4 linked regions of the Drosophila melanogaster genome follow. The protein of the gene in region 4 interacts with the protein of the main gene of each other region in a pairwise test. Each region holds a gene or a part of one and is shown on either strand. Other genes may lie near its edges. The genes, in order: CG43894, CG15422, Sod3 and CG34205.

Evidence for each region.
Region 1: the proteins of CG34205 (region 4) and CG43894 interact in a two-hybrid assay, tested with the Drosophila melanogaster proteins (one large-scale study listed by BioGRID).
Region 2: the proteins of CG34205 (region 4) and CG15422 interact in a two-hybrid assay, tested with the Drosophila melanogaster proteins (one large-scale study listed by BioGRID).
Region 3: the proteins of CG34205 (region 4) and Sod3 interact in a two-hybrid assay, tested with the Drosophila melanogaster proteins (one large-scale study listed by BioGRID).

Annotation. Positions count from the first base shown.
Region 1 is NT_037436.4:12,885,655-12,892,872, forward strand, and holds CG43894 (uncharacterized protein), read left to right. Parts: upstream 1-4,115; 5' UTR 4,116-4,569; coding exon 4,570-4,630; intron 4,631-4,688; coding exon 4,689-4,817; intron 4,818-4,885; coding exon 4,886-5,403; 3' UTR 5,404-5,451; downstream 5,452-7,218. Other genes in the region: CG14120 (uncharacterized protein), read left to right, coding at 1-3,513; CG14118 (uncharacterized protein), read left to right, coding at 7,059-7,206.
Region 2 is NT_033779.5:4,000,862-4,007,410, forward strand, and holds CG15422 (uncharacterized protein), read left to right. Parts: upstream 1-4,122; 5' UTR 4,123-4,194; coding exon 4,195-4,509; 3' UTR 4,510-4,809; downstream 4,810-6,549. Other genes in the region: CG34176 (uncharacterized protein), read left to right, coding at 3,270-3,521; CG15423 (uncharacterized protein), read left to right, coding at 5,252-5,575.
Region 3 is NT_033778.4:11,377,876-11,387,463, reverse strand, and holds Sod3 (superoxide dismutase 3), read left to right. Parts: upstream 1-3,349; 5' UTR 3,350-3,449; intron 3,450-4,388; exon of another isoform or gene 4,389-4,532; intron 4,533-5,146; 5' UTR 5,147-5,152; coding exon 5,153-5,215; intron 5,216-5,281; coding exon 5,282-5,509; intron 5,510-5,572; coding exon 5,573-5,801; intron 5,802-5,869; coding exon 5,870-5,891; coding exon of another isoform or gene 5,892-5,895; exon of another isoform or gene 5,896-6,435; coding exon 6,436-6,625; 3' UTR 6,626-6,670; coding exon of another isoform or gene 6,671-6,782; 3' UTR 6,783-7,015; downstream 7,016-9,588. Other genes in the region: CG30022 (uncharacterized protein), read left to right, coding at 1-92, 149-204; sprt (sprite), read left to right, coding at 398-801, 868-1,908, 2,022-2,403; Tsp47F (tetraspanin 47F), read left to right, coding at 8,437-8,499, 9,218-9,406, 9,466-9,588. UniProt on the Drosophila melanogaster protein: Protects the extracellular space from the toxic effects of reactive oxygen intermediates by converting superoxide radicals into hydrogen peroxide and oxygen.
Region 4 is NT_033778.4:22,127,733-22,134,920, reverse strand, and holds CG34205 (uncharacterized protein), read left to right. Parts: upstream 1-3,621; 5' UTR 3,622-3,710; coding exon 3,711-3,788; intron 3,789-3,953; coding exon 3,954-4,277; intron 4,278-4,340; coding exon 4,341-4,592; 3' UTR 4,593-4,807; downstream 4,808-7,188. Other genes in the region: NtR, read right to left, coding at 4,808-4,930, 4,991-5,157, 5,230-5,370, 5,436-5,967, 6,040-6,227, 6,296-6,448, 6,508-6,639, 6,745-7,066.

The sequences.
Region 1 (7,218 bases), on a different chromosome or scaffold from region 4:
CTCGAACTCGATTTCTATGGCGGAAGGGATGTGAATACCAAGTACACGCAAGTACAGCAGAACATCACAATCAGTAACATACTCGGTCTGGATGCGTCACCCTACTTCAACTTTAGCGATGACCGCATCCTGTCTCGGGGACATATGATCGCCAAAACGGATCAGATCTTCGGGGCGGCTCAGCACACGACATTCCTGTTCATCAATGTGGCGCCTCAATGGCAGACCTTCAACGGGGGCAACTGGGAGAAAGTGGAGACTAGTGTTCGAAAATTCGTGGCAGATCGTAATCTAACCACTGATTGCTATACAGGCACTTGGGGTGTTTCAACCCTTCCCGATGTGGATGGCATTGAGAGGGAGCTATATCTGGACTTCGATGAGAACAACAATGGCCTGATCCCAGTGCCCAAGATTTATTTCCGTGTGGTCATCGATCGGGTGACTCGCGAAGGCATTGTGCTAATAGGCATTAATAATCCCTATCTAACACTGGAGCAAATCCAAAAGGACTACATACTGTGCCAGGATATTGGCCATCAGCTAAGCTGGCTAACTTGGTACAAAGAAGATCTGCACGAGGGTTATTCCTATGCTTGCTCTGTCGAGGATTTCATTGAAGTGGTTAAGGACTTGCCGCTGGAGGACCTGCACACAAATGGTATCCTTGGATTGGACGACGTGACCACTGTTGAGCCTTCGACAACCGAAAGTTCCACAACTACTGAAGAGCCGAGCTCAACTACAAGCACCGAAATTCCATCAACCACTGATACTACACCTAGTTCCACTAGCGTTTCTTCTACCACCGAAGAGCCAAGCTCATCTACCGCTTCACCCACCACTGAACTACCAACCTCCACAGTTATATCCACCACTGAACCACCAACCTCCACAGTTACATCCACCACTAAACCACCAACCTCCACAGTTGCATCCACCACTGAGCAACCCACTTCCACAGTTACATCCACCACTGAACCACCCACCTCCACAGTTACACCCACCACTGAACCACCTACCTCCACAGTTACATCCACAACAGAACCAAGCTCGTCTACCACTCTGGAACCTACTTCAACTACATCTTCCTCTACCACTTCACAACCAACTTTATCAACCGAAGAATCAACTTCAACATCTCCAACGTCTACCTCTACTTCAAGTCCTCCGGTGACTACTGCCAATCCCATTGCCAATCCCTGTAGGTTTAGTACAAATGGTGATCTCAAGGATCCTGCTCCACTACTAACACCGCAAGGAGCTCTCAGCTGGCTGCTGCCCGATGAAAGTGGGCTTTACACCGTGGAAGAAGGATCCTCCATTGATCTGCACTGCACTGGAGCTCTGGTATCACCATTTAATAGGTATACAGCTCTGAGCGCTCGTTGTGTTGGTGATCAATTGTACGAGGCCGAAGGACAGCTGGTCAATATTCGAGGATTCGTCTGCCAGAGTTGGCCCACATATGCGGCAGTCCGATCGGGACAATCTTGCGCTGGTGGTACGGATGTGGTGCACATCGGCTTCGATGTGGCTGCCGGTTTTCTTAGCCATGTTGAGCTCTGCTACGATCAGCAGGAGCAGATCTCCAGATACGCTCGCTATGAACTGACTCCGGCCAATGTGGCCTACCAAAAGGGTGTTGCTCAACCGGGCTATCTTCGAGGTGACTTCTATAGCGGCGAAGATGTCAATGTTCTATATGACCAATCACACCAGCTGGATGCATTTAGTACGGCCCTGGGATTAGATGCCAGTCAGTACTTTGACAGCACTAAGGATCTCTATTTGACCAGAGGACAGCTGGCAGCTCGTCTTGATTTCGTCCATAGTTCCGCCCAGAGAGCCACCCACTTTTATGTGAACGCAGTTCCTCAATGGAGAAGCATCAATATTGGAAATTGGCTTGCAGTGGAATCCAGTTTGAAGCAATTTGTGGCGGATGAGGCACTTAATGTGAGTGTACATGCCGGCAGCTATGATATCTCAACTCTACCCAATTCACAAGGTGTCCAGACACCTCTGTATCTGAATGCCGAGACCAAACAACTGCCAGTAGCTAAGATCCTCTATCGCATTGTTATCGATCAGGAAAGTCGCAAGGGAGTAGTTCTAATTGTGGTCAACAATCCACATATAACATTGACGGAGACCCTCGAGGATTATGTGATCTGTGAGGATGTGGGAGCGCAAATCGATTGGTTGGACTGGGACAAAGCAAACCTGCAGAAGGGCTACTCCTATGCGTGCTCTGTAGAAGATTTCATCGAAGTGGTTAAGGATTTGCCCACAGATCAACTGCAAACAACAGGAATTCTTGGTTTGACTGATCAAATCTTGGACAATGAAGTGTGCAGCTTTAAAGTGAACGGTGATCTTAAGGATCCGGCTCCTTTATTTGTAGTCAGGAGTGAATTGGGTCATGCGAGATATTTGGAACCGAATCAAGAAGGAGTAGTTCAGCTAAAACATGGAGAAGCCCTTGAGTTCCACTGCATCAATTCTTTCAGTGGACCCTTCTCTGGTTATACCTTCGTCAATTCAACATGCTGGCAACAGCAGAGCATCCTGGCAATGGGCAGTTTGTATCAGCTGCAGGACTTTGTCTGCACTTCCTGGCCAACATACACTGCTCGTCGCTCTGGTCGTCCCTGCAATGGTGGTACTGATCTGCTTGAAGTGGGCTTTCAGCTGTCATCCTCCTCGAGCGACGACTTCCTGCAGACCTATGACGTGTGTCACGATGAACTGAGCGAAGTCACCCGCTATGTGCATCATGTTTTGTACCCCGGAAGTGACCAATATCAGCGATCTGTATCCAGGCCATCCTTTATACCCGGCGACTTTTACGGAGGCAAGGATGTGAACACTTTGTACACCCAAGTTCAACAGAATATCACGGTTTCCGAGATTTTGGGCATGGATGCCTCACCATACTTCAACACCACTGGTAATGTCTATCTGGCTCGGGGTCACCTTTCTGCAAAGACCGACTTTGTCTTTGGGGCCGCTCAAAAGGCGAGCTTCTTCTTTGTGAATGCGGCACCTCAGTGGCAGACCTTTAATGGCGGAAACTGGGAACGAATCGAGGACAGTGTGAGAAAGTTTGTGGCGGATGAAAACATCACAGTGGATTGCTATACGGGCACATGGGGTGTGTCCACCCTGCCGGATGTAAATGGCATTGGAAGGGAGCTCTATTTGGACTTTGATGAAAACAACAATGGTCTGATTCCAGTGCCAAAGTTGTACTTCCGCGTGATTATCGATCGCGAGAGCAGAAATGGCATCGTGCTACTTGGAGTTAACAACCCACATGCCACCATTGAGCAAATCGAAGAGGAGTACATCATCTGCCAGGATATTGGCGCCCAACTGAGTTGGGTCAGTTGGACCAAAGAGGACCTAAAGAAGGGCTATTCATATGCCTGTACTGTGGAGGACTTTACTGCAGTGGTGAAAGACCTACCTTTACAAGACCTGTTTGTCGATGGAGTCCTGGGTGTTTAATATCAGATTTTGTGGGTGTGCAATTTCCAAAAAAAAAAACGAATTTCTTAATTTAAAACCAATAAAAAGACTATCTTAAAGAAAACAGGTTTTTATTGAAGGGTAGCCCTTAGGAAAATGCTTAAAGGCACGTTTAAATTAAGTTCTCATGGGCCATAAAACAGTGAAATCACGTTTAGCTTTTGTTCTCTTTGGAGTTTATTGCATGTTGGACATATTGATAAGAGTAAGGTTATCAAATGCTTGACGTTATCGTTTATGGCCGGGGTAGAGCTATTTATTTACCCAGCCATTGGATTATTTGCTCACGTGCCGCACGTTTCCAAAAGCCTTAATTTTTTCTGCTGTTCCAGTAGCCCAAGAGGCAGTCCCTTGGCCCGAATCGAAGTCCCAATGGCAGTGACTTTCACATTTTCTTATCGAAGCTAAGGAAATACCTTGTATTACTTGTGCGGTTCCCTTTGTTTATCTTATCGCAACACAATCGTCGCAGAACGTATGAAGTATACGCCTGCTTGGTTAATAATTATAATGGACTTTTTAGGGGGTAAACAAAAGGCAAAAACCGTAAATGAAGCAGATAGAAACCAAAATTGATTTATATTGGTCGAGTAATCATTCACTTAGAATTGTTGCGGATTCAACAATGCGGTTAAACTTCGTTTTAATTAATCAGTAATATCTATCAAGGCTGAAAGTGTGTGTTATTTTGTTAAGCAATGTTTATTTACCCCTGTTCAAGGCGTAGTTCAGAGACCGTTTAATAGATAGTTCTATTCGGCTAACCTACTGCTGAAATATTTAGGCAGTAACTTATTAATCGTGTAAGTTTTAATGTACTGCATTTAAACAGCCATACAAAAATATTCAATTAGCGCTGTTTAATGAACTTTTATTTATGTTAGAAAGAGTCAGAACAATAATCATCATATTTCGGTGATTTAATTTTGCAAATAATCATTACCGCAACTCATCAACCATGAAATATCAAAATGATATAAATATGAGGGATTTAGGGAAATGAATTTAGTTAGTTTCGGAATTTTACAAGAGAAAATGGAACTTGTTGGTATATATTTGATATTAGCCACGACGATTGTTGTCCAAGGATACAGAAGTAAGTCAGCGAACAGGATAAGGGATAAAATCTAAAAAATTCCCCACTATCAATACAGAATTTGGACTTAGTTGTGAGGATATTGCCTGTATATCTGGTAAAAAATGCATTGTATCCAGAGTTCCCTGCGAAAACCCAAATCAGCAAGAAGGAGAACAATGTGGAACCTATCCGGAGTGCCAATCAGGTTCGTAAAATTTTGTTTTTTCATCGGTTCACACTGAAATCTGGTCCTTTTCAACTGATCCGTTTCAGATCAGCTGGCCAGCGATTTCATCATCGACACTACACAGACCACTGCCAACACCCGAAACAGCATCATCATACCCAGCACTTCCACGAGTCGCAATCGGAATAATAGGAACAGTGACTTTAAACTGCTGAGCGATTTCAGTAACTCCGATACATTTGCCACCCATGCAGGCCAACGGCAGGCTAATGTTTTGGTTATTGTTCAAGATGGTTCCCAGCAACCTCAACAGCCAAATCCTTGGCTAAATCGAGGACAAAGTCCTCCCTGTACCATCAGTCCGCTCTACCCATATTCCTGTACTTATCCCCGTTATCCGAATTCGGGAGCAGGATTGCCTTCTTATACGCAGCAGCGATCGGCCAATGGGCCACAATTAGTTCCTCCCACTCCACCATGCTACTATAACTGCTATCCCAGTGTGCGGTCAAGTTCATATGGTCAATATGGATACCCCCTGTCTAGATCAGCCAATCCCTCATCAACCAATAACTATTTAATCTACCTCACATTAGCTGGCTAAAAGACCAGGAGCTTTAGTTATGTGCAAATAATAAATATAGAATCTATTATCAACCTTTTTTTTTCGTTTCTATATCTTCGCCAGTTTTGCACCGTTTCCGGCGAACGCCACAAATGCCTTATCAGCCTGTGGGGATGCCAGCTTCAATGCCACCCGGGTATCCACCACCTCGCCCACCGTTTCAAATGCAGCAGCCGCGTCAAGTTGCACCACAATATGTGATTCCACCTCAGCCCAACCCACAGTACGCAATTCAATACCAGGCCAACCGGCAATATGCCATGCAAGGACAACCCAATTCGGCCAATCCTTGGCTCCACTTCTCAGTAGGGATGTCCTATCCAACGTATATGAACTATAATGGACGTTCCGCTGGGAACTCACTTCCATCATTTTACAATCCGTACCCACCCAGTTATAGTACCTATAATTACAATATTAACTTACCCTTTTCGGGTGGATCTTCCTAAGATCTTCGATACTGGTTAAAAAAAATTCAAAGCTACTCAGCACCGGATGGACTCCTTCCGAACATTATTTCATTACTTTCAAATTTGTCGTTCCTAAAATTAATAGCTAATACATATATTTGTCAGCTTCTCTGGGGGAAACGATGACGGATTCCGAAATGGATTCTGATGCAACACTACCACAATTTCACAATCGATCGGCACGTCAGATTCCAATGCGTCCCATGCCAGGACCAATGCCAATGCCAGGAGCGCTGCCGTATCCTGGTCCTGTTTCAATGAATGTACCATCTCCGGGGCGTGCGTATTATCCCTCGTATATGGGACAACCTTATATGGGACAACCGTACATGCCAGGTGCCATGCCCATGATGCCAATGATGCCCCAGGGAGGTGGAACTATGGGTGGTACCAGCATAATTGTGGAGCCCTTAATAATCCTGCCAATGGGCATTGGGGCAGGCACGGGTACGGGCGTGAATCCAAATTCATATTATGGATCGAATGGAGCTTATCCCACGTATAACAATTACAATCCCTACAATACGTACACTACTGCACGACCCAGCTACGACTATAACAATTATAACAACAACAATAATAACAATAACAACGATTACAACTCATATGGTTAGATTTCAATTAAATGATCCCCGAAATCTACATGATCATTATTCATTTACAAATGAATCGAAAGCTGTCCAGGTATGAATATATTGTGTACATACATTGTTTGCCAGGTCATTTAACAATAGATTATTTTCGATTATTAAATAAGAAAAATGTCAAATATAATTGACGATTAATCTTGAATAAAATTATTGAGATACATCATTCGCGAGATAAATCACTTTTTGTTTTAGCTCTGTAAAGAAAGGGGATCGACAAAAGCAAAGAACTTAATGCGACCTAGACCTAAATACACATACATATGTATAAAGGTATATAGATAGAAAGAACTCGGAAGTACTCAAAAAATGCAAACAATCCAATGGTATTATATCTTTATTCTCAGAGAGATTACAAGACAAAGAAGCAAAACGAAAGAGAGAGCGAGAGAGAGAGAGAGATGTAAGATACAAGAGCACGAACTGAGAATATAAATAAAAACACCTGTTCACCAAACAAATAATTCAGTCGGCGGTTAGATAGCAACTTAACCGGTCGAGTTGAGTTTCCAACAAAATGATGCTTCAGTTTATCGGCCTAATTTTGGCGGTCGTGATTCTGCGAGAGATTCGGGCACGTGAGGCGATCGCAACCATTCCAGATGTGGGTCAGATAATCAAAGATCTCGATGGACTGCACATCGATGGAGAAATGTTTCATCAAGGTATGTGGTCGC
Region 2 (6,549 bases), on a different chromosome or scaffold from region 4:
CATGAAAAGGACAAATGAAGTGAAATTTAAATGATTGCATACTCGGAGGCGTTTGTTGAACCACTTATTTTCACCTAATTGCACACTCGAGTGGACAGACGATGCTTTTTCCACTTGGTTGACTGGCCAAAAATGCGGGGCTGGGAAGTTCCACAAGTGGGGGCGTGGTCACTTACTGTTACGCAACAAAGTCACAAAAATATTTGCCAAGCATTTTACGTCCAACATTTTATCCGTCCGATTTTTTGGATGGCCCTTTCCCTCGGAAATGTTTACCCAATTTTTGGATGTGCCAGTAAATGGAAAAGTGAAAAATCGTTTATGAATTTCGTGGGCTTTTGTTTTGATTGCGACAATACGTGAGAAGCAATTATACGGCGGCACATGAAAGTGAGATCCGGAAATTGGCTTGAGTTTATGTACATGTATACGCATAAGAAGACCTTGGTTTTCCTGGAGTTCTGGGCGTGCAAACCGCAGGCATTAAAGGGACAACTTTGTGCTCCCTTCAACTTTTGCCTCATTTTTGTTTCTTTCGCTGGTTAATTTTTGCGCCTCGCGAAAAGAAACAAATTTTCATGCAAATGGAAATGGAAAATGCAAATTAACAAGTTCCTTAATGGCCTTGTGGGCGTAAGGGGGAGTGGCGGTTGCTGGTGTACACCTATGGCTGTAAAACTGTGAGCTGATTTCAATTAAAAGTTGAGAGGAACGCAAGCGTCAGTGCTTCTAAAACTATTGTGCATAAGAAACCGTTTTAATTTACAATATAGAGTTCAAAAATGTAAAAATATGTAAATTCTTTTTTTAATAATATTTTTAAAAATATTTAAATTATTGAATATGCTAAGCACATTGCCTAATTGTAAAAATATTCGACAACATTTTCGTAGTTACGCTGCAAGATTTCAAGAGTTTAGCAAAACTGTCAAGTCATCCCTCACCTCTGGCAGCATTTTGCCTTTCCGTCTTCAGTTTTACAACTCTATCAATCATCAACTTGCAGCGAGTGCCTGAAAACGGTAGCTCAATAAAATGTTCTTGAAAATGTTCGAAAAACATCTCAGCCCAACCCCGAAAACACTTTTCAGATACGAGTATTGCCATGACATGTCGACAAAAGCAATGATTCCTTTTGGGTAACCCATTTCTGCACCAACCGATTTTCCAACTTTCCCGATTTTCTTGCCAACTCTTGCTGCGTTACGCGATTTCCCAGCCACACTTGCATGTCATGACATGAGCAGGAAATGCGTTTTCTGACGCCGCTGCTAAAGAAGCCTCGTAAAGGTGGTATGCACTGAAGAAAAATGCATACAATCAATTTTTTCATAAATCCTTTATACACATTTCAACGTACATGTTGTTATTCTGTATAAAACCGATATTTTTTTTTTCAAAATTTTAAATCCCTTTAAAAATAATAATTACAATAATTTGGACTTTTGTGCGAAGCTGAATTTTGCAAATACTTTCATTTGATTTCTCTCAGTAAACGGGTTGCGAAATTTCGGATAGCTGCTTTTCCTGGTTTCTTGGTTAGGCTTACGGTTACGGTTTTTTGGCTATGCCGTGTGCCTGGTTCCGTTTCTTGTGCACCAAGCGGAGCGCCATAAATATTTAAATTGTGCGACGCCGCCGCCACCGCTTAAAACCACCAGAACCACCATCCCCCCAACCACATCCCCATCCATTTGCAACACCCCTTTTGCCACGCCCCCTTATGCGCCTGTCTTGCATGTTGCTTGCCGGCTTATTTTTTGACAGTTATCGATTCGAGGGCGCTGCCTCAGTTTCAGCTGCAGATTCAGATCCAGATTCAACTCCCGATTCCAAGCCCCAATTTTCTGATTTTGATTCTTCACTCGGGGACAGAGACATTTTATCTTGCCAGGACTCAATTCATTTCCTAAAATATGCACAAGGAGTTAAAAAATACATGTGGAAAAAGCGGAGGCTTCAAAGATGACGCACTTAATACACTTTTTCGAGTAAATTCGCTTGAGAAATTTTCTTTTTCTTCAGAGGTCTTGAAAATTTACATTATTTTTTATCCCCAAAGTGAATTGGCTACGTTTAAACTATCGTTTTTGCTATGGACAGTGATTTCATTACAGCCAGTTGGGATTTCCTTTTAATGGCTATAATAACTAAAGTGAGTGACTGTCATGCGGCCTGCCACGCCCCACCAACGCAGCGCGCCCACAAAAGCTCAGTCGATATGTTGCGCGTTATGCGGCACTCATTTCCTTCCTTCTTTTGCGTCAGTTGAAAACTTTGCCCGAAACTCGTTTGCCACTTTGTGCATGTTTAACTTTTTAGGGCAAGCACCCTTAACCCTTAAGCCGTAACCCTTAACCCCAGTTCCTTGATCGAAGTGACAATTCAAAGAGCGAATGAAATGCGAAATGCAGCACGAACCACTCAATTAAGTACAGCCAAAAAGGCTGCCGCTCTCCTGGTTGTCAAATCGAATATTCCGAATTTTATTTGATCAAGTGATTGAGATTCAGAGAGTCCCGAGAGACTTTTCTTGATTGACCGTCAGAAATTACCATGTTTTTCTATCCATACATTTAATATTTACCCACGTCGCCCCTCGAGGCAAAATCGTGTCTGCAAACTTTGCATAATAGACGTGCAAATGTTTGCCAAATATTTGCCGGCTAAGGAAAATGTGTAAAGAATTATTGGGAATTTTTCGGGGCTGAAAATTGGATAAATATTTGTGGCTTGACAACATTTTCTCAAGCTAAAGTTTGTTTTCACTAGAGTTAAGGAATTTAATCGCATTTAACCAAATACAAATATTTGCACGTTGGTTCATTTCCTTTCTTCGTGACAACGAAATACTTTATTTCTTTTTAAAACTTTAAACAAGTATTTACATGACTATATGTAAGTTAAGGAGAAATCCCCGGAAAAAACCAAACATGACTCATTAAAGAAACGAGGAAAATCTATTGATATGCAGGCTCAAATTTGAATTGAAAAGCTTATTCGAAAAAAGCTTTACCATTTGCCAATTTTCAGTTTATTTATCGATAACTTTGCTCTAGAAGCAATACTTTCGTCAATAGAAATAATTAAGAGTACCTACCTACCTATTCGCTATCAGCAAATGCTGATATTGAGCTTTTTTATGACGGCAAATATTTTGGCGTTTGTTTGGTTAGTCAGTCCCATGAGTTGGGCATTCGCTTAATTCAGTTACCAGCGATAAGTCGACACATTTGGACGGACTTTCTACAGAAGATTAGTGCACCACTATGCCACCACCACCCCACGATCATTGCGGCGGACCGCCTCATCGTCGTGGACCCGTGATTAAGGTACAGATTGCACCACCATGGCCACGCCGCCATCACCGCCCACCACCCCAAGTTGTGGTGGTGCAGCAGCAGGCTCCGCCACCGCCACCAGTCATGGTGGTGCAACAGGCGCCTCCGCCACCGTACTACCAAAATCCACCACCACCACCACCGCCCGGCAGCAGCCACTACCACAATCCACAGTATTGAGAAGGAACTTTGATCTGTAAAATCCTTCACAATGAATTTATACCACGTAGCCTTACTTAACAACTATATGTCCTCAATAAAGTATAACCTTATAAACTAAGTTTTAGTTTATAGTTTTTAGTTTTTTTGCATATTTGTCATGAGTAATGGTTGAGTTTCAATCGAGTTGATTCCATCACACACACTCCCTCTTTTTATTATCAAAATCTCTAATCCGTGTTTTTTTTTTTTAAGTCTTTATCGGAACACCTGGTTAATTTAGACGGCAATCACTTGTTGTTTTGTTAATGTCTAGCAAAACTTTAATTCATTTTCACCAATGCTCTGTCAATGCTTCTATGCTCCTATATCAGAAATAATAACGCGTTACCCATAGATAAGCCGGAATCAGTTAATATAGTAAACAAAATGCGAGTAAAATAGCGAAACCCGATCACCTGTAAATGCACAACTGTCCGGTCGCTGTTATCAGACCTTGTCGAATGACTAAGCCATCTTATCTTTGCCTCTAACCACTGGAATAATTCCCACAAACCCTGATTGATGGAGCTTCGCAGTTCCAGTTTGTTTCGAGCTAGACGTGTTGTGCCACGGACTTTCCAGTATTCAACGCGTTGCTGGGTGGTGAAGTTGGTTCGGTTGGCTGGTTGATTATTTGGCTAGTTAATCAACTATGCGGTACTATGAAGATCCATGTGGCTATCCTCCTCGCCATCACCATGGTCGTCCAAATATCGAAATTGATGTGGTTCCCGGTTGGGGTGGCGGCTACTATCCGCCGCCGCCTCCGCCTCGGCCCGCCGAGGTAGTCTACATGACCCCGGCGGCTACCTATGTGCCCGGCACACAGGTGATAATGCCGCAACCCTACGGCGGCGTCACGGTGGCCACCACCAATGGATACTATCCGCAGCAGCAGCAGCAGGCGTACGAGTATCAGTACCAGTATCAGCAGCCCTACAACAATCCACCGTATCCGCAGTGGTGAACGAGGTCGGAATGGAAACGAAGCCATCACCACTAACAAAAAAAAAATATACTATCGATGGAGTGAAGGAAGGGATAGATAACAAGAAATCAAAACAAATATCACTTTGTCCTAATCTTAAGTTGAAATGACAACGCAAATGGTGCAATGGTCTTGACATTACGCACCACAAAGTTAACAAGTTAATAACCAGAGGAAGGTACAAAAAAACAAAACTGGAATTTAACTTTAACCGTTTCAAAGAAAATATAATTGTGCTATATAACCTTAAAACGAAATAAATAAAATATCTTGCTCTTCAAAAAACCTACCCGTCTTTAATTCTAAAAATATTCTAAATACTGCATTATCGATTTTATTTATGTTTATGTAATTTAGTGTGAGTCATCAATCAGAAGCATGGAATTAAGTCCTTCCTCTTAAATATAAAATTGTGATTCATGGAAACCTTGAACTCTCCTCATGAAATTCAATTCGGAATTTCGTATTTATCAAATGGCACTTATCAATTTTATTTTTTTTTTATCGAAAAAAACACATTTATTCCACCTGACAAGATAACCAACTAAGCTACTGTGCAAAACGCACATAACAAAATTAGGAAAAAAAATTCCCCCTCATTAGCGATAAAAATTGACTTAAATAGTTAAGCAGGCGAAGAAGCAAGTTCAGTTCGAGAAAGCAGTCAAAGGCATTCACTTCACCCACTAAGGATACAATACTTGGATAGTTTCTGAAGAAAATGCCGTACTACGAGGAGGAACGTCGTCATCACCATCATCACCATCACGGTGGAAGGCCAATTGTAGAGGTGGACATTGTGCCGCCAAGGATTCCTCGACCAGTGATTGAGATCGGAGTGGGCGGCCGGTATCCACCACCACCGCCCAGGGTGGAGGTCATCACACCAGCTGCCGTCTACCAGCCGCCACCACCACGACCCATTATCGAGGTGGATGTGGTGCCACCAAGAGCTCCCTTCATCGAGTTCAACATCGGCGGTCGGCGTCCACCTCCCAGGGAAGAGGTCATCATCGTTCAGCAGCCCCCACCGCCCAGGTGGTAGGCGTGGTCTCCATATGACCGTCGTTCAACAACGAAGTAAAAAACTTTAAAAATATTTATTAAACTTCATGTATTTCTGCAAATAGAAACTATAAACTAACTTTTTACAAAACCTAAGCTCTTGTATAATAAAAATAAAAAATAAATAAACAGTTCACTCCTTCATGTTTGAATTTCGTGTTTATACTACTATATACTATAGTATACTATATATTACGCACATATTTCTTCATGTAAGCTGACATTTTAATTTGCCTCAATCTTATTGCCAATGCAATTGTAAATCCGCTCGAAATATTTGCTTAAATAACTTAAATGCACTTTACCTTAATTGAAATATACTTGATTGGTTTTCAATGTCGGTTCTTGCTGTGACACATTTTCATATTGCGAATATATATGCCTGCATTTATTTGCAATGTTAATGGTACAAATATGAAAATTGAACTGCAGGCGAACGACATAAACAATGGTCATGGTCATGATTCCTTTTCCACTCTCTATTTTCCGTACGGGTAATTGCTTTCGTGGATTTTTTGTGGTTTTTGTATATATTATTTGGCTTCGGTTTTGCTATCTGACTGGTGGGAAATGATTGATGTCCTCTGGTCGTAGCCAGCTTATCAATTATTGTACAACTAGTGCTGTCAGTACATAAACATATTTTAAGCTTTATTATAACGAAAACTGGGCAATAGTTTTCTCAATTTAAATGGCGTAATAAATATAAAAGATCTTGCTGGACTCAAAGTAAAATTTGAATTATGATTTTATATGAAAAGTTATACCATTCTTGCCGTATTTAAATAAGAATTGCATATCCAACTATGGCTTAAAATGTATATGTATACAAATGAAAAATATTTTTCATGATAAGAGTTCGGGAATTGATATCTAAAAAAGAATTAATTACTCATGAAGAGAAGAGTCAAGATAATTATTTTTGGATTCTTAAACTATCGAGAATAGCAAGTA
Region 3 (9,588 bases), about 11 Mb from region 4:
GGAGAAGCGGTATAACCCCAGACTGACTAAGGATATTGAAGAGTTTGTCAAAATCATGGAAAACCTAAATTTACCATATCCCAAGAAAATAGGTGGGGATGTGAACATATTACTATATGCGTCTTTTACTAAGTTTAATATCTTTTAGATGCCTCGCTGCCCGCCAATCGAGAGTGCGGGGTGTACGATATACCCAAGGAATAATTCCAACCCCTGCAAACACTATATACGCAGCTTATATAATAATGTTTCAAAGAGACTTGTAATCTTTTAAATAAATAATCATAATAATCTTATCACGATCAAGTTATGACAGCCTCATTTTACTCCCTGACTTCTGTGCTTAATAAGATAAACTTAAAAAACTCACTTCTTTGTTCGCCTTCTTTTGTTGCAGACCATTCTCAATCCGAAGGGTTGTGGCAGTGCCGTCAAGTACAGTCTGCACTCGACTGCAGAGACGAACCAGGAGACTGCCAGTACCACGACCACCTCTACCCATTGTTCCACAACTGGAAGAAGGCGCAAGGGTGGCTCCCTGGGCGGTACTCTCTCCTCGCGATCGACGCGCAGCGAATCCAAGGAATTGCGATCGGCTCTTCAGGATCGGGAGGCTGTCATCCAGAATCTGCGTATACAGCTTTGTCTGGGCAAACTGCCACGTCCCACGGGACCACCGCTGGATGAGTCCGAGAAGCCGGCGGCTGAGCAAAAACTAAACAGACTGAAGACGGAGGCGGAGAATAAGCGAATTAAGATCAAGAACCTGAAGAGTGCCCTGGAGAAGCTGGACATCACAGAGTGAGTAGAATGTTTTAATACTATTTAGCTTGAAGATATTTAATACTTACTTTATTTTATCCACAGCAACATAGACATCCGCATCCGTCAAGCCGAATTGGAATACGCACTCGGCAGAGAAGAACTCCAGATGCTCTCGATTGTGGAGGAGGCTCGCGCCTTGCAGGCACGTCTGGAAAAGTCCAAGCCCGAGGCGCAGACCCTCTACAACATCATCAGCTCTGGAGTCTCCCTGAGTCTGCACGCCGTGCATGCCACCTCGGGAAGATGGGCAGTTCAACAGAGGACAGACCAGCCGGGTTTCTACGTAGAATGGGCTTTAGAGGGTGATGGCTTGTACAAGGGCGATCGCATTTTGGAGATCAACGGACGACTGGTAACCGGAAAATCCAAGGAAGAGCTGCAGAAGCAAGTAGGAAACTCTGGCAAGTGTCAGATGGTTGTACTCCGCAAGAAGTCCGTACCTATACCACAAAAGCAACTAGACCAGGAGAAGGAGAACAACATGAGGCTGCAGCATCGCATATCGTACCTGGAAGAGCAGGTGCGAGAACTGCAGACAGTCAAGGAGCATCATCCATCGCAACAGCAGCAGCAGCAGCAGCAGCAACAGCAAAATCCACAGCAAAATCCACAGCAAAATCCACAGCAGACATCCTCCAATCAATCTCAGCATGTGACCAGCATCAGCATATCATCACCTCCATCAACACCGCCCGAGAAACCGTTGATCTTTCAGCGGGGCAACTATATTACCACTTTGGTGGGGGGCAAACCCATCGAGCTGATGGGTGACGACATGGCCTCGACACAAACCCCTCCCGGACATGTAACCAAAACACTGATCAAGGAGAATACCCACATCGATTTGAGAGATCGTCTGTCGCACATGTACTCCATGCCCTCCAAATCGCTGTCCGCCTCGAAGATCTCGATTAATAGCGATTCTGCCTATATGCAGCACCATCGACGTGATAAGGAGCGCCATCGCGATCGCCAGCACCGGGAACGCCCCAGAGATCCTCTCCAGCAACAGCAGCAACTGCATCGCGAACATCTCATGAGCACGCACGCACGCAGTGTAGAGCACCTGAATCATTACAATGGGTAGGTTATTCGCGATTCTTCGAGATTCTTGTGTAGATGTTCTAGCAAAGACAGGCTTTTTCATAGATTTAAATTTTCCTGACTAATCTCCCCGATCTTCTTCGCCATTCCAGACTGGATCGTCGCCGAGACACGCCCCGACAAAGTGAGTCGAACACACTTCGAGCCCGCCTGCCCAGCGATATGAGGAGTGTAAAATCCCTGGATTTCGATAGCGAAAACGAATCGAAGCCTGCGACTGAGACGCGTACCACTAGACCCACTCCGCCCAAGAAACCCCTCCGGCTATCGCTGCAACGAGCCCAAAGTCTGCAGACCGTGGAGCTGCACCCCTGTGCGGATATCGAACGAAAGCGGCCCATGAAGAGGGTCCACCACAACAACAACAACAACAACAAAGGTGGAGAATCACCGACTGGAGAGGGCCAGACCATGCTCATCGAGAACTGCAGTCCCATGCACACGGCTTCCCTCGGCAGGCACAAGCTCATCTAGAAACCCGATCCCAATCCAACCAAAACTAATTGTTAATCGAAGTAGCTTAATCCTCGACCGATCCTAACCGGCGGTTAAACCCAAAAAACAGGCGGACATGTGCAAAATTACAGTAGGCAATATAATTTTAACCAGCTCCCAAGTGGAAAGTTTCTTATTATGTAGTAGCAGTAGTATGTACTTACATTCTATATCTTGTATAAGTAGGGCTTGGCTATCAACATTTAGTATTGAGAGAATCAATAATTAAGAGTTTTTGTATGTACGATGATTTTATTAGCACAATTTACAAATGTGAATACACGAATATTTTCACCTACTTAAATGCGTTATTTATTTAAAAAATTCGATCCCGGCCTGCTATAAATGTGATGTAACTACAATTTCATGGCATCGGTTGGCATATCAGAAGCTATTACCTGGCAACTCATTTTCAAAGAATTTGTAGCAGTAGTTCTTCAAATTGCTTCGCCGTATCTGGAAAGCATGCCAATATTTACGACCTCCATTGTAGGCACGAGCCTGGCACATATTTTATGACGCCACAGTGATAAGGTATTCAAATGAAAAGCACGTTAGCGTGTTTCAGCTGCGCTTTTAGTAAGTTCAAAGAATTACTTAATAGCTATAATTTGGATATAATTAAAAAAAAGGCCGTTAATAGGATAATAAATATATCATCAGAGCTGGACAAAAGAATCTGATCAATCTGCAGTTGATAAAAAAAACTCAACGAGGGAGATAGAGCGATAGAGCGGTGAAGTAAGCCCGAGATAAACCTGAGAGCGGAACTCTCGCCTACGCGATCGTGCTGACCGCCAAATGCAATATCCGCCGCTCCACCTGGTGGCGCTCTCAATTCTCAATTCTGCGGTCTTCTTGCTCTCGCCAAATCTGCCCCAATGTTCTCTCAGCGAGTCGATTTGCGATGGCAATGCCAGAGGCTCGAAACAGTTCCGTCGCAGGTTTCCAACGGTACAGAGGTGCAATCGCTTAATTCTCGCAAAAAACAATCAGTACCCAATTATAAAATAGTTGCTAACAAGGTGAGTTTGCAACGGACGCGAAAAAAAAGAAGATCAAGGGCTAGTAATCGAGAATATTGGGTGAAGGTTAAGCTGAAGTTGAAGTTACTTGAGTTAATTGTAATTGTTAATTGTTCATAATTTATTGGTTTGCTTACATTTTAGAACCTGATTTAGATATATTACCCACAATTGCGTGTTACCAAAAAGAAACCAGTTACCGCAAAAACGGAGTTTACTTCACTGATTTTTGATTCTCTCATTCACTGTCCGCTCACCCTTGAGTGGGTTAAGGTAACCAGTTATTAATCCAGAAAAATGAGTGGGCAAAAATGCAGCACAGACCAGACACAAAATATTGTACATATCCATTACAATCCACACATTCCACGGCTTAAAACTTCAATAAACATTTAAATTCCCAATCGTGAACAGTTGGTTGAACAAGTGTTTACGATATTCTATCTTTTCATATATGTAAAATTATGGCTTGTTCTTATCTCAAAACTGCATAGCTTCGGCGTTTAAATTAGACGCGAAGTCTCTGTGTGTGAAATCAAGTAATCTTGGCTGTATTGTTTGCAAATTCACGAAGAGAGCCCTGCGATCAAATTGTTCAGATAAGCATCTTCATTAGCATATCGTTTCACGGTAAAACTCAAACTGAGTTATTATTTTCAAATCAATCATATTTAATCAGCAAGCAAGAGCCCTAATAAACCTTATTTGATGGACAAGCAGTGGCTATTAGTTGCAATTTGTGACCCATTTCGTGACAGTTTGAACCAGAATAAGTAAATACCTGGCAAAAAACAGATTAAAATACTTATACGTAATGACAATGGCATTTTTAGTTCCGAAATTCAGTCGCTCTACGAGCGTGAGAATCGTAAATTATGGGACCGATTCCAAGTGCAGATAAGGATACGTGTGTAGAGCAGGTACTGACCGCGTTTGAAGATCGTTTCAGAACTCGAGCGTGCAAGATCGCCAGCATATCGCAGACACATTGATAAGACCGTAAGGAAACCGGACCCATAAACAAATATTGCCCCGATAAAGTGTGACACCCATCCATTTCATTTGTGGAACTTTGGAAGCGAAGTGCGTACGAAAAAGAGATTGTTGATTGACCTTCCCGCAGCCGCACTTAACCCTGTGAAAAAGGCTGTTTGCATTTAGTTTCGTTTGGGTATCGCTCATTATTCACACACATAAATAATAATACCCGTTCGCACATCATATATGACCCACAAATCGTTTCATAAATTGAGGCTAGGCGCTTCAATTCCGCACACAACTGTCCGTTTAAATGGAATCAAGAGAATGTACACCTGATGACGTCCAAGCCAGAGATGAGCTGGAATTCAAGTGCCAGAGATGAGTTGGCATCACGGAATTTGAGATTACAAGACATAAACCCTCCTAGCATTTCCCAAAACTGAAAGTATTTGGTTCCAAATCATTTAAAGCTTTACTATAAAGCATTATATAAATAGTTTTGGAAGATGTTTTTAATATTGAGTCCATATCAATTATCGAAATTTCAGGATTATCATTTAGTTCATTTTTAGCTATGTCCAGTAGATCATCCCTGGTGGGATTTTCTCTGCTTGTGCCACTCAATTTAAAATTATTTATTTATAGACATTTAAACATTTCTAACATTTGCTATCCGAGTCGTACACGTGTCTAATTTAACTATGATTTCCTTGCAGTTCAAAATGATGCAATATCTTGTTGTTAGCCTGGCACTCTGTGCCACAATTTGCTCTGCTGCGCAGACGGTAAGATATATAATCTCGTTAATTTGAAAATCCACTTATAATTAGGACACTGAACTTACTTTGCAGCGCAATATGCCCATTCAAGCCATTGCCTATCTGATTGGACCCGTGCAATCGGATAATACCCAGGTCAAGGGCAACGTGACCTTTACGCAGAACGACTGTGGCCAGAATGTCCATGTGCGCGTCCAGCTGGAGGGATTGAAGGAGGGCAAGCACGGCTTCCACATTCACGAGAAGGGAGATCTGACCAATGGATGCATCAGCATGGGTGCTCACTATAACCCCGATAAGGTAGATGCGGGATTCTTTATAGGATTAGGTGTCTAAATCACTAATATAACTTTTATGTCTCAGGTTGATCACGGTGGCCCCGATCACGAGGTGCGTCATGTTGGCGATCTGGGCAACCTGGAGGCCAACTCCACGGGCATTATCGACGTTACATACACGGATCAGGTGATCACCTTAACTGGCAAGCTGGGGATCATTGGCAGGGGAGTTGTTGTCCACGAATTGGAGGATGATCTCGGTCTGGGCAACCACACGGATTCCAAGAAGACCGGCAATGCAGGCGGCCGCATTGGTAAGTAGTCAGTGTAAAATAATAAAATAATAATAATAATAAAATATTTGTTTTAAACCTTCTTTCAGCCTGTGGTGTTATTGGCATCAAGTAAATATCCCTTCCAACGTGTCAGCCAAATCAATATGCTGCTCGAATACTTTATGTGTAGTTGTGTAACTCCAGGCGTAGTAACTAATGAAATGTTTTCCCAATTTTCCCAATTCCCCCACCCACAATCACACTCACCCTTACATGTTTGGCTTACACATTTCCCTCAATTAATTGTCTCAGTTCACTGACTCACTCGATTTGCCGTGTGTGTGTTTGTGTGTAATAAAATCAACAAAAATTAACCGAAATCTAAGCTAAACATTAGCATACTCTGTACCACTTGTGTTCTACCACCTCATATTCATGGCCTAAACAAACTTTCGCGCTTTGCTGGGGTTGCTTTTCCGAGTGGGTAGGTATGACAGAGAGCCTTTTTACCTATCATTTTTACTAACATCATTAGCATTAGTCGGTCGGTCGGTCGGTCGGTCGGTCGGTCGGCGAAGAGAAGGGGATATTGGAATAACAACTGCCGCTGGAATCGGAACTTTACTGATCCAACCAGGGTTCAATCAAAAAACTCACATTGTATGTTTTCCAGTGGCCCATCTGTACCTGCACCTGCACCACCAACACCACGCCATCAGCCACTGTACTATGTGCCCCATGGGGAGCCACAAGATCATGTTGTCTATCCACTCCAGCACTATCCTTTGCCATACCCACACCCATATCCATATCCGCACCCATACCCCTATCCGTATCCGTTGTCGCACCAATTGTATCTGTGAGATCGCGAGACTACACCGTTCGCCTGTTCCACCTTCTAATTGCAGCTCGGATGTGGACGAGTGGCCATGTCGCGATGGTGGCGCCGGCGCCCTGCGCTACTCCTTCTCCATCCTGACCGTCATCGTGGCCCTCATCATGGCCCGCAGCCTTGACTAATCCGAAACATGCACCCGGATCGGATCGAATGCACGCATGTGGCATGGGATTGTTGGCCATCGTAGTGATCTGCATACCTACTTACACACTAACCACACAACCATGAGTCGCACACCACTACCAACAGTAATTATAATACTCCAGCATTATCCACCCAAATAGAGAAATCAAAGGAACTAACTAAGCTACTTGTAAAGTGTTTGAATTGATCGATAATAAAGTTTGTTATTTGTATTTCGGGTGCTTGCAATTTGTACGTGCTTAGATAGTAACAAAAGTTGCTGAAAATGAACGACAGATAAGGGTTAGCTCTAATTTTATAAAAAAGATTAGACAAAGTGTTTCCAATGGACTGTTAGAATTGCACATAAATCACAGTAGTAGTAAGTTATCAAGAGAATTAAATATAACTTCAATTTTGTATGTTGATTTCTAAGGACAAATAGCTGTTTGTTCCCTAAAATAGGTTACCAAATAAATGAACACTCAAAAAGTTGGTAGGAAAACTATATATAGAACTTCGACGTCACCAAAGCTTTTCCTACCCATACACCTTTATGTGGCTGCGAATGGGTCATATAACATTTAGTTGCCTTTGATTTGCTGAATTCCAGCTTAGAGCCACAATTTGCTTTAAATTGCGGAAGCCTTCAGAAAATATTTGTGCTCCAATCATTCAGAGAACTCCAATTCCCAGGGATTTTGATTCCAAGCCGCCGCAACTAATGGTCAAGCAACAGTTTTTGCTTTTATTTTTTCTAGATTTCTTCGACCAGATAGGCTCAGCCAGAGAATGGGTCAAACAGTGGGATTCTAGAAAACCTAGGGCCATAATTCCCGACACGCAACACTAACATCATCCGAAAGACTGTGGCATACTTCTGGGCGTCTTTAATTATTTCGCACAGTCCTCAGAGAAAGAGAAAGCATTTACAACTTTCTTTGCCGCGCACGAAAGCACGCAATTAATTTCGCCTTGGGCCCGGTCGAGTTCCAAGTGCTAAGTGCCGAACTTTAAAGGGAAACACATAGACGTGGGCGCACAGCTAAATTTTTATGGTAATAAGTGCAATGACCCACCCGGAATCCAGCTGGAGATGGCGAATGGAGCCGTGAGTGAGGCAAGTGAGGTAAGCCCCGGGCGACCCACAAAACGCAACCAATCGCCTCGCCTCGCCTCGCTGCTTTGGTCAAAGTTCTTTGGTATCGAATGCTAAATCAACAGTGAAATAAGCCAGCACGGAGTTCCAGCCCCTATAGTCCATATAGTCCGTCATAGGCCCATGCCCGATCCCTATTCCGATTCCAGCCTAATCATGCCTGGCCTAAATTCGAATCGGGCCTCCAAGACTTTCACTCGCTTTCGCTTTTGTTCCGCCGCTACCCATTGCTAGCCGTACCCCAACCGCAATCCGGATCCGTTGCCACCACCAACCCGGCAAGTGGCAAGTGGCCACAACAGAACCGGGCCCTTCTAAAGCCCAGCCGGACCGTCGCTCCGGTCAGTTCGCGGTTAAACTCCAGTGCGGTCAGTCGATTTGGGCCATCGCTCTGGATCACTAAGTCATATCACGCACCAAAGCGATTCTGTATTTGAATTGATCTAAAGTTGAAATAACTTGAATTAGTGCTTCGCCCCAAAAGGAATCTCAAAATGCGTTCTTGCGGTCCGAGTTTAATTAAATATGTCTTATTCGCATTTAATGTGCTGTTTGCGGTAAGTGCAAGTGATATGATATATGAGTAAAATATCTAAAGGATACTGAGAATATTATGCTAAATACAATACATTGCATCATACTGCAAATCACTTTGTTTCTAACAAATCATATGCCAATCAAATTGACTTATTGATATTAATTTCAAAAAAGAATCATAAAATTTTATGAAATGACATAACTATTTTCTGGGAATTTTCGAGGTGCAAACTGTTACTGCAATTATGAAAACGGATTGAACCGTCCAAACGTAACATTCTACCAGATTTATTTTTGCTCGTAATTAGTTCTAATTCGCCATAAGCACTATAATTACGCTTGTGCTTGGAGTCTTGTTCGCCTGCCTCATTTAGATAAGTATCGCTGGAAAATGGCACTCTCACTCACGGAAAATCGGATAATCGGATAATGTTCAAACGCGATGGCCTGTAACGACATGCGAGTGATGTATGCGTGCTCCAAAGGACATGGACATCGGGTGTCCTTCGCATTGACCAACTGCGCAAGCAGTTGACTTTCAATGACGGCACGGACTTGAACATGGAAATGCCATTGACTAAGTCGTGGGCGATTTTTATCGTTCAATTAGAATAGGGAATGTAAATATAAATGCCTGCCATAGCAAATTAGGACATGATTGGAAGCCATTAACTAAATTGCTTAACGGTTCTATTGGAGGTCGATTCGATTAATCGAAGGTACTAAAATTTCTTACAGATCTCCGGCCTGGGAATTCTTATTGCTGGTGCCGTTGTCCTGGCCGATGTGAATGAATTCAATCACTTTGTCGAAGGTCGAGTCCTTGCACCGCCAATTGTCCTCATAGTCACGGGCCTGATCATATTCCTGATAGCTTCGCTGGGCTGTTTCGGAGCGATCAAGGAGTCTCCAACGCTTCTAATTACTGTAAGTTTTCTAGAGAAGCTCCCAAGAAATGTCCTAACCCATTCGAATTTCATTAACAGTTTGCTGTCCTTTTGGCCGTCATCTTCATTGTGGAGCTGGCCGTCGGTATTGCGGCCAGCGTTTTCAAGAAGGATTTGGAGGGAATGGTGAAGAACTCGCTGCAGGAGTCCATCAAGCGATCG
Region 4 (7,188 bases):
AATAGTGGTGCTACAACAACAACATTAACACCGCCATAACAACAAAAGCAATGGCAACAACACGAAGACACTCCTCTTGGCTTTTGCCTTCGGATTCTTCCACCTCTTCTGCGTCCACAGACGAATTATGGCCATTAAAGCTGCTTGGGGTTTTAAGTTATTAGGCAACTTGAATTTCAAACTGCACTTGACAAACGCACAAATAAAGAAAAACAATCTTAAATGCGCAGTCAGTCACACAACTGCAGTGGACTTAATCAGTTAATAATCTAGGCTTAAAGGTTGATTTAATCACGGCTAAACTGGAAAAGGGGAGCAATCCTCAACAAACCGTGTTTAAAATTGGATTTAAGGTCAGTGTTCAGCGAAGTCCAATCCATCCATCCCACAAACATACATAGGTATTCCACCCACTTGCTCACCTGTTGAATTTCAAGGGGAGCATTTAACCCCTTTAAATCGCCGACACCCCAATGCTGTGGTTCGTGCATTGCTCATACGTCATTAACTTCAGTGACTTTGATCTATATTTATTTGAGTCTCTGGGTCTTTTTCTATGGAAACGTAGCGAAGGGCAATCGATTGAAGAAAAAAGAGTTGTATTGAATGATAAACTTGAATTGCTCATTCAATAGGATTCCATTCCATGTCGATGTTGAATGTTTTATATACATTTTTTAAAAAGGTTATATATACTACTATAAATCTAGCCAACAATATTATATTTTTTTTTGCAAATGTTAACTTATATTTCAAAACAAAGTTTGTAATACAAGTAAATTACATAAAACATAAAATATACATGACAGCTATCTACGTCCGCTGTCCTAAGCTACGCCATCTGTTGGTCATGAAAATTGAGCAGAACATCTGTTAGATGGCGCCACTAAGCCAAGCTTATCTTTAAGCTAAGACAGCGAAAAAGCTAGTTTTAAATTTAAGCTTACATCAAACCCGTTTCACCTTAGCGCAAACATTAAGAGCATTTTAAATTTAAATATTTTGTATTTTATTAAATATTATTTATTAATCACGCCATTTAACATACACAAATATCCATAGACAGGATCGTTATAGCCCGTTTTCCTCTATTTAATCAGCCCACTTTATCTGGACCATTACCATGGCAATAATCATTTCACAACCGACCGCCTCGACGCAGTCATCCCATAAATACACCACTTACCACCAATTCCTGTTGACGAAAAACAAACAAGAAGGCGACAAAATGGCCAGCAGTCTATGGAGTAGAAACAGTCATTGATTTGCAGTCAGTTGGGATTGCTAAATGCAAAATGGACTCGGAATACACAAAGAAAAAAATTAATTCATTTACAAGACCTCCAAATATGTATATATATATCATCACATGGAATTTTTCTGCTAGCTTAAAATATTATCCAAATTGTAATCGATTTTTAAGGGAATCATACATTTGAAAACAAATTCATCAAAGTTGGTGCGGTGCATTTCAAAAACTTCCAGTCACGTCAGCAGCGAGGCTCTAAGTTTGTCAGCTCCCAAAAGCTGAACTCCAAATCCATTTCCATGTCCACCACGATTCATTCATTAATTCAGGCAAAGCGTCATAAATGCCACGCGGTTTTTATTTGGTTTTTCAGGCTGGTTGATTTCGTCGTTTGTTTTTGATTTAATTAAGCGGCGCTTTTCCATTTTGCAATGTTTTTCTTGGCCGTTCCGCGAAGCATTTGCAAGTCAAATGCAGCGGCGTTAATTAATTGAATGGATCGAAAAATAACGCATACGCAGCGTGCGCCGCGAAGAATTCTGCGCTTGCGATCCATTGGGCAATCGCTTTGAATTCTCTCATCCATTCTGTGGCCAGTGGCTAATTAGGCCCGTCATCCAAAATTCGCGGCATTTTGCACCCATTTTGGAGCACACGCCGCCCGATCGCCAAATCCAAATGCGGCTAAAGACTCGCCTCTCGATCGAAGCCATAAAAACCAAGACGAGGATCGATCGGCTGATCGCCTTAAATCGTCATTTAGTATGTGGCAATTTGGCATTCGAGTTTGCCACCCTTCTGATCCACCGACCGATTGCTGGAAAATTGCTTTCCACCTGGCCAAAATGTGGGGCAGTGGCTGGGAAATCTTTTATTTATGAGGACCGGCGACACACCGACCACAACACACAACACCGATCTGTCCGCATCTGTCCGGATCGAATTGGACATGGAACACTTGTTTGGCAGTCGCCGACCACTGGCAACAATTGCTCCTATTGACTTAATATTTGCTAATAGAATTCACATAAATCACATTCCACTGGCATGCATGATTTATGCATGAACTGCGATCGCAGGTGACTCTCTGTCTCTTTTGCGGCGTTTCGTGCTGTCCTTTTCTCATTGTGCTAAGTTTTTTTTCGAGTTTTTTTTACGAGATTTCGGCGTTGAAGTGGTGTTTTCGAGACCTCTTGAGAGGAACTCCACTGAAGTGCTGCAAGTTGCATGCGCTAATCTGAGACATTATGTGCTTTCCAAACTTTAGTTTCTTAACCCTAATATATAAAGCAAGTATTTAAACACGGACTACCTTATTGTCTCAAAAAGTTATGTAAAGTCCACAAAAATATAAATCATTTAAGAAATGAATATATACACCATATCTATACTTAAAGCGAATAAGTGATATAATGATTACTTGAGACACTATTAATCCGTGATAAGGATCACGACGAGCATTCTCAACAATTTGTAGCATTATTAATTTTGTGATGACCCAATGTCACACCTCCGTACCCCCGCACATCCCGTGGGGTTAATCAAGTCGGCCATAAAAAATCCCACGAACTGCCAGATGCTGAACCGGCAATTTCAGCCGGCAAAGTCGATGGATCGATGGCGAGTTGAAGCTGGAGCTGGAGCTGGCGAACTGGGGCCTCCACTCGATCCAAACCCCCTCGCCACGCACGAGTGTCCTCGAGACGAGACGGCGTGGCTGCGGCTGAAATCACCCATCCAATATGGTCAAATGTGGCACGCAGCGGCATTCGAGGCACGATAAAGATAAATATGAAGCTCGCCTAGATATTTCGGCCAGAGGGGATTGCTGCTTGGTGTTTGGTTTTGGCGTTTGCCGATTTGGCAAGCGTTCATTATGCAATTTGGAGAGAATTTCCCAGCGCCACGCCGAGAATTGTTTCGAGAATACTCAAACATAGCAACGAAAACAATTAGACGGCATTCTACGTTGGCTAATTAAGTTGTTAGTGGCAAGGCTGCGTGCTTTCGAGGGGCGTGTCACCTGGCGCGTTGCCCAAATTGGCCAGCTAATCAGCGATTTCAATTAGCGTGCGCTTTCCAAATGCGAGCCACAATGGCACCCCCAGTGTAAAGACCGCCTTTCCTGCGGCGACTCCTTAGCCGGCAAGTGGTCTGCCTTCGGTTCGGAGCTCCCAACTCCCAGCTCCAGTTCAGGTTGCGTCATCCGCGTTTGGGGGCTCTCCAATCCGAGCTGCGTCTACGAGAATTGCAGTTTCACTGCAGCCGAGATACTTCACAAATTGGTGCTGCTTGGCCCGCTTTGTTGACTGCTGTCTGCTGACTGTTTGTCCGTCCGAGGCTCAGATCGAAATCTAGTCAAGATCTGTCCGCTCGACCACCTGTCCTCCGGTCCGCAGTTCGCAGTCCGCTCGAGAGTGCGAGTGCGTGGTCTGCCGTCGAGGGGTATAAAAGTAACGCAATGCACACGTCCACTTACAGTTGCAATTCTCCCTCCAAGCCAAGTGATTCGTTATCCAGCGCTAGCATGAAACTTCTGGTGAGTGGAAAGGGTTGGAAAGGATGCGGCCTAGGATCAGTATTATCACTTTAAGCCAATAATACTGACTGCAAAGGATATCTTCATACAAGGATTACCTCGATCTTATATTCACTAGATCAAAAAGATTAACATCAAAGTTTGGTTTTCCATTTACCTCGCCAGATCCTTACCTCTCTGCTGGCTGTGGCCACTGCTGCTCCTGGACTCCTTGATTATGGACACTCGGCTCCGGACTACAGCTACGCCCATGCCGCTCCTGCCATAACATATGCAGCTGCAGCTCCAGTCATCAAGTCCTACGCTGCCCCAGCCATCACCTATGCGGCTCCAGCTCCGGTGATCAAGTCCTATGCCGCTCCAGCCATCAGCTACGCCCATGCCGCTCCTGCCATCAGCTACGCCGCTCCCACGGTGGTCAAGTCCTATGCTGCTCCTGTGGCGGTCAAGGTGGCAGCTCCAGCCACCAGCTACTCGCACTTCAGCTCGGTAAGATCTGGATATACTCTGATATTTTCCCATTTAATCTTACAATCTACTTTGCATGCACAGGTTGTTTCCCATGCCACGCCCATTGTTAAGTCGTACGCTGCGCCTGCCATCGCCTATGCTGCTCCAGCTCCGGTGATCAAGTCCTATGCCGCTCCAGCCATCAGTTACGCCCATGCCGCTCCAGCCATCAGCTACGCTGCTCCCACGGTGGTCAAGTCATATGCGGCTCCAGCCATCAGCTACGCAGCTCCTGCCCTGGTTAAGTCATACGCTGCACCTGCCCTGTCCCTGGGTGGATACGGTTACCACTAAGCTCCGATACCAAAACACTCCAAATCCAAATCGATCCCGGATCGGAGTTGGAACAATGGCAGCAATTAACTGCGAGGAGTCGCAACAGCCCAGCACGCTCTCCCACTTTTTCAACTTGTAGTCGCAAAATCTTCACAATCTTCTCTGTTTACTTCTTATTTATTTAAGAACCATTAATATTCTCTCAAATGCACAATAAAGAAAAATTCTGTTTTTCAAAACCCACTCGTAATATCTACGATGGCAAAGGTTATAATGACCAAGATTGAACTCAGGTTGTTCAGGATCTTGGCCATATGGTGCCAGGGATTCTCCTGAATGTCGCAATAGTCGGTAGACTGTAGGAATATAGTGAATTGCAATACGTATATGTGTTCAATAGGGGCTTAACTACTCACATCCGAAAATCTCAATCCCAGAATGCATCGCAGAACATTGGAGTTAATCACCCTAACCAGCCAGCCAGGAGCCTTCGATCTGGGTGGATATAGATCCAGCCATATAATGCAGATGTGCAGAATGTAGCAATAGGTGGTGGTCATCATGATGACTTTATATGCAGTCACTGTAGGAAAAGTGAAAATTTGAATTTGAAAATTATACACAGTGAGTTTTAGTTAATTGATTTAAAACTTACTCATGGGCGGCACATAATGCGGAGAGGCGTAGCGCGTCATGTACATTAAACCCCAGGCGGCAATCAGCAAGGCGATGAGAATGAGGGAACTCCTACGAGTAGAACGCAGTACAAAGGACAAAATCAGGAACATCTGGCAGGCTGAAAGAATATATTGTAGTTATATGTTATTCCATAACAAGAAATCAAACACATTTTCATATTACCAATCAACGGCAAATAGAAGACGGTCATGTAGAAGCTCCGATTCCTTTGCAGCGTGAACTCAATTGCCACATCGCCGGTCATTTTCTGCATCATTCCCTTGGGGTTGTATCGCCTTTGCGAATCGTTCTCCACCAGCACCACGGACATTTGCGTGAACGACCAGCCGGATGGCGTGTTCACGTGCTCATTGGGCGCAATCGGCTTGCGCTGATCATCGTAGATTAGCGCCACATTCTCCTGCCCCTCCTGGCCATTGAGACCCAGCTCGATGTCGCAAGTCACTCGCTCGCTTGGCCAGTTTCGGGCACTGTCCACACACCAACTGGCCAGCTGGAGGTTTTGAGCGTACAGGGTGATGCTTCCGTTGGCGTAGACCATCAGCTCATAGGATTGGAGGACCTGACCCATGGATTGCAGGGCGCCGTTGAGGACGTTCATATGCGGCTTCCATATACGAAGGTCAGGATGTTCGAAAGATTCCAGCGAGCCGAAGTCCTCGGGTTTCCAGACAAGACGACTATCCCTCCAGTGCTGCATGGATAGGCGAATGTATCTTTACTGTTTCACACTAAATATTTGCATTTCGAGCTTATCTTTCATTACCATCATCATGTGCATGCGGGTCTGAAGCAAGGAACTGGTTTGCTCGTAGGCGAGGGAGCGCGTTTGGAAGTGGAACGATATGGAGCTGAGATTAGCCGGCATGCTTGCATTTTCCGCCTGGATATTCAGATGGCTTAGCAGTTTTTCCGTCTTCGTTTCCTCCTTCACTATCGGTGCAATTTCCGACCCTGAAATGGGTCAGTTTTAGAACATACTTACAGATATAGACTTATAGCTTACTATATATCATCCTTACCATAACCATCGAAGCCACAGTCGTAAAACCACCGCGCCGTATTGGAACCAAAGGAGCTGAAACTCAGATAGTTGATGACCAGCGGTGCTTCATCGATGAACTGCAGCAGGGGCTCCTTCTTGAAGCCGGGTATGTAAACAAACAGCTCGCCATCTGGAAATATACTGTGCGTTGGAGGGGCAGGGAATACCCGATAAGATGGGGGAACTCACTCTGGTTTTGGACAATCTCAATTGGCGTCGGGTCGTACAGCGATACCAAGTTCGGCTCTTGATTCGTGGCCACCCGCCTCATTCCCATAGCATTCCGGATTGCGGAAAACGTATTTCCGCCGGCTCCTATCACTGCAAGCGGAATAAAGATATCAATTGAATATTTAGGTAGGGTTCCACTAGAAAGAGCTCATTGAAATGCTGGAATTAAAACTGAATATTATTGATTTCACCCACCGATCTCGTAAACGCGATCATTTGGGCGCGGGTGATTCGTCACCGAGAGCAGGATGTGCGCATCCATGGCGGTCAGGACGTAGAATTTCAAGTGCAGCCGCTCTCCGGCCTTCCTGTTGTTGTTGCTCAGCTCGCGCAGCATGTAGAACCTCCGGTAGCCATAGCCCGTATTCGGAACGGAGTAGGTTTCGCAGGAATCCAGCTGGGCGAAGCTCACGTTGAATCTCGTTGACAGTTGTCCCGATTCCGCTGGGTCAATCAATATCAGTAGCAGGCACAGGCAGCAGTATGTTGCCAAGGAGCCCTTGATAAGGTTGTACATCGTATCGACCTGGACTTCTACTCCTCACAGCGGCTTAACTACGACTGAATTAGGAAGCCGACTTAAGTGAAGTGATAAGAAACGATGAACTAATGGTTGTTTCGATAAATAATACTGTTTTT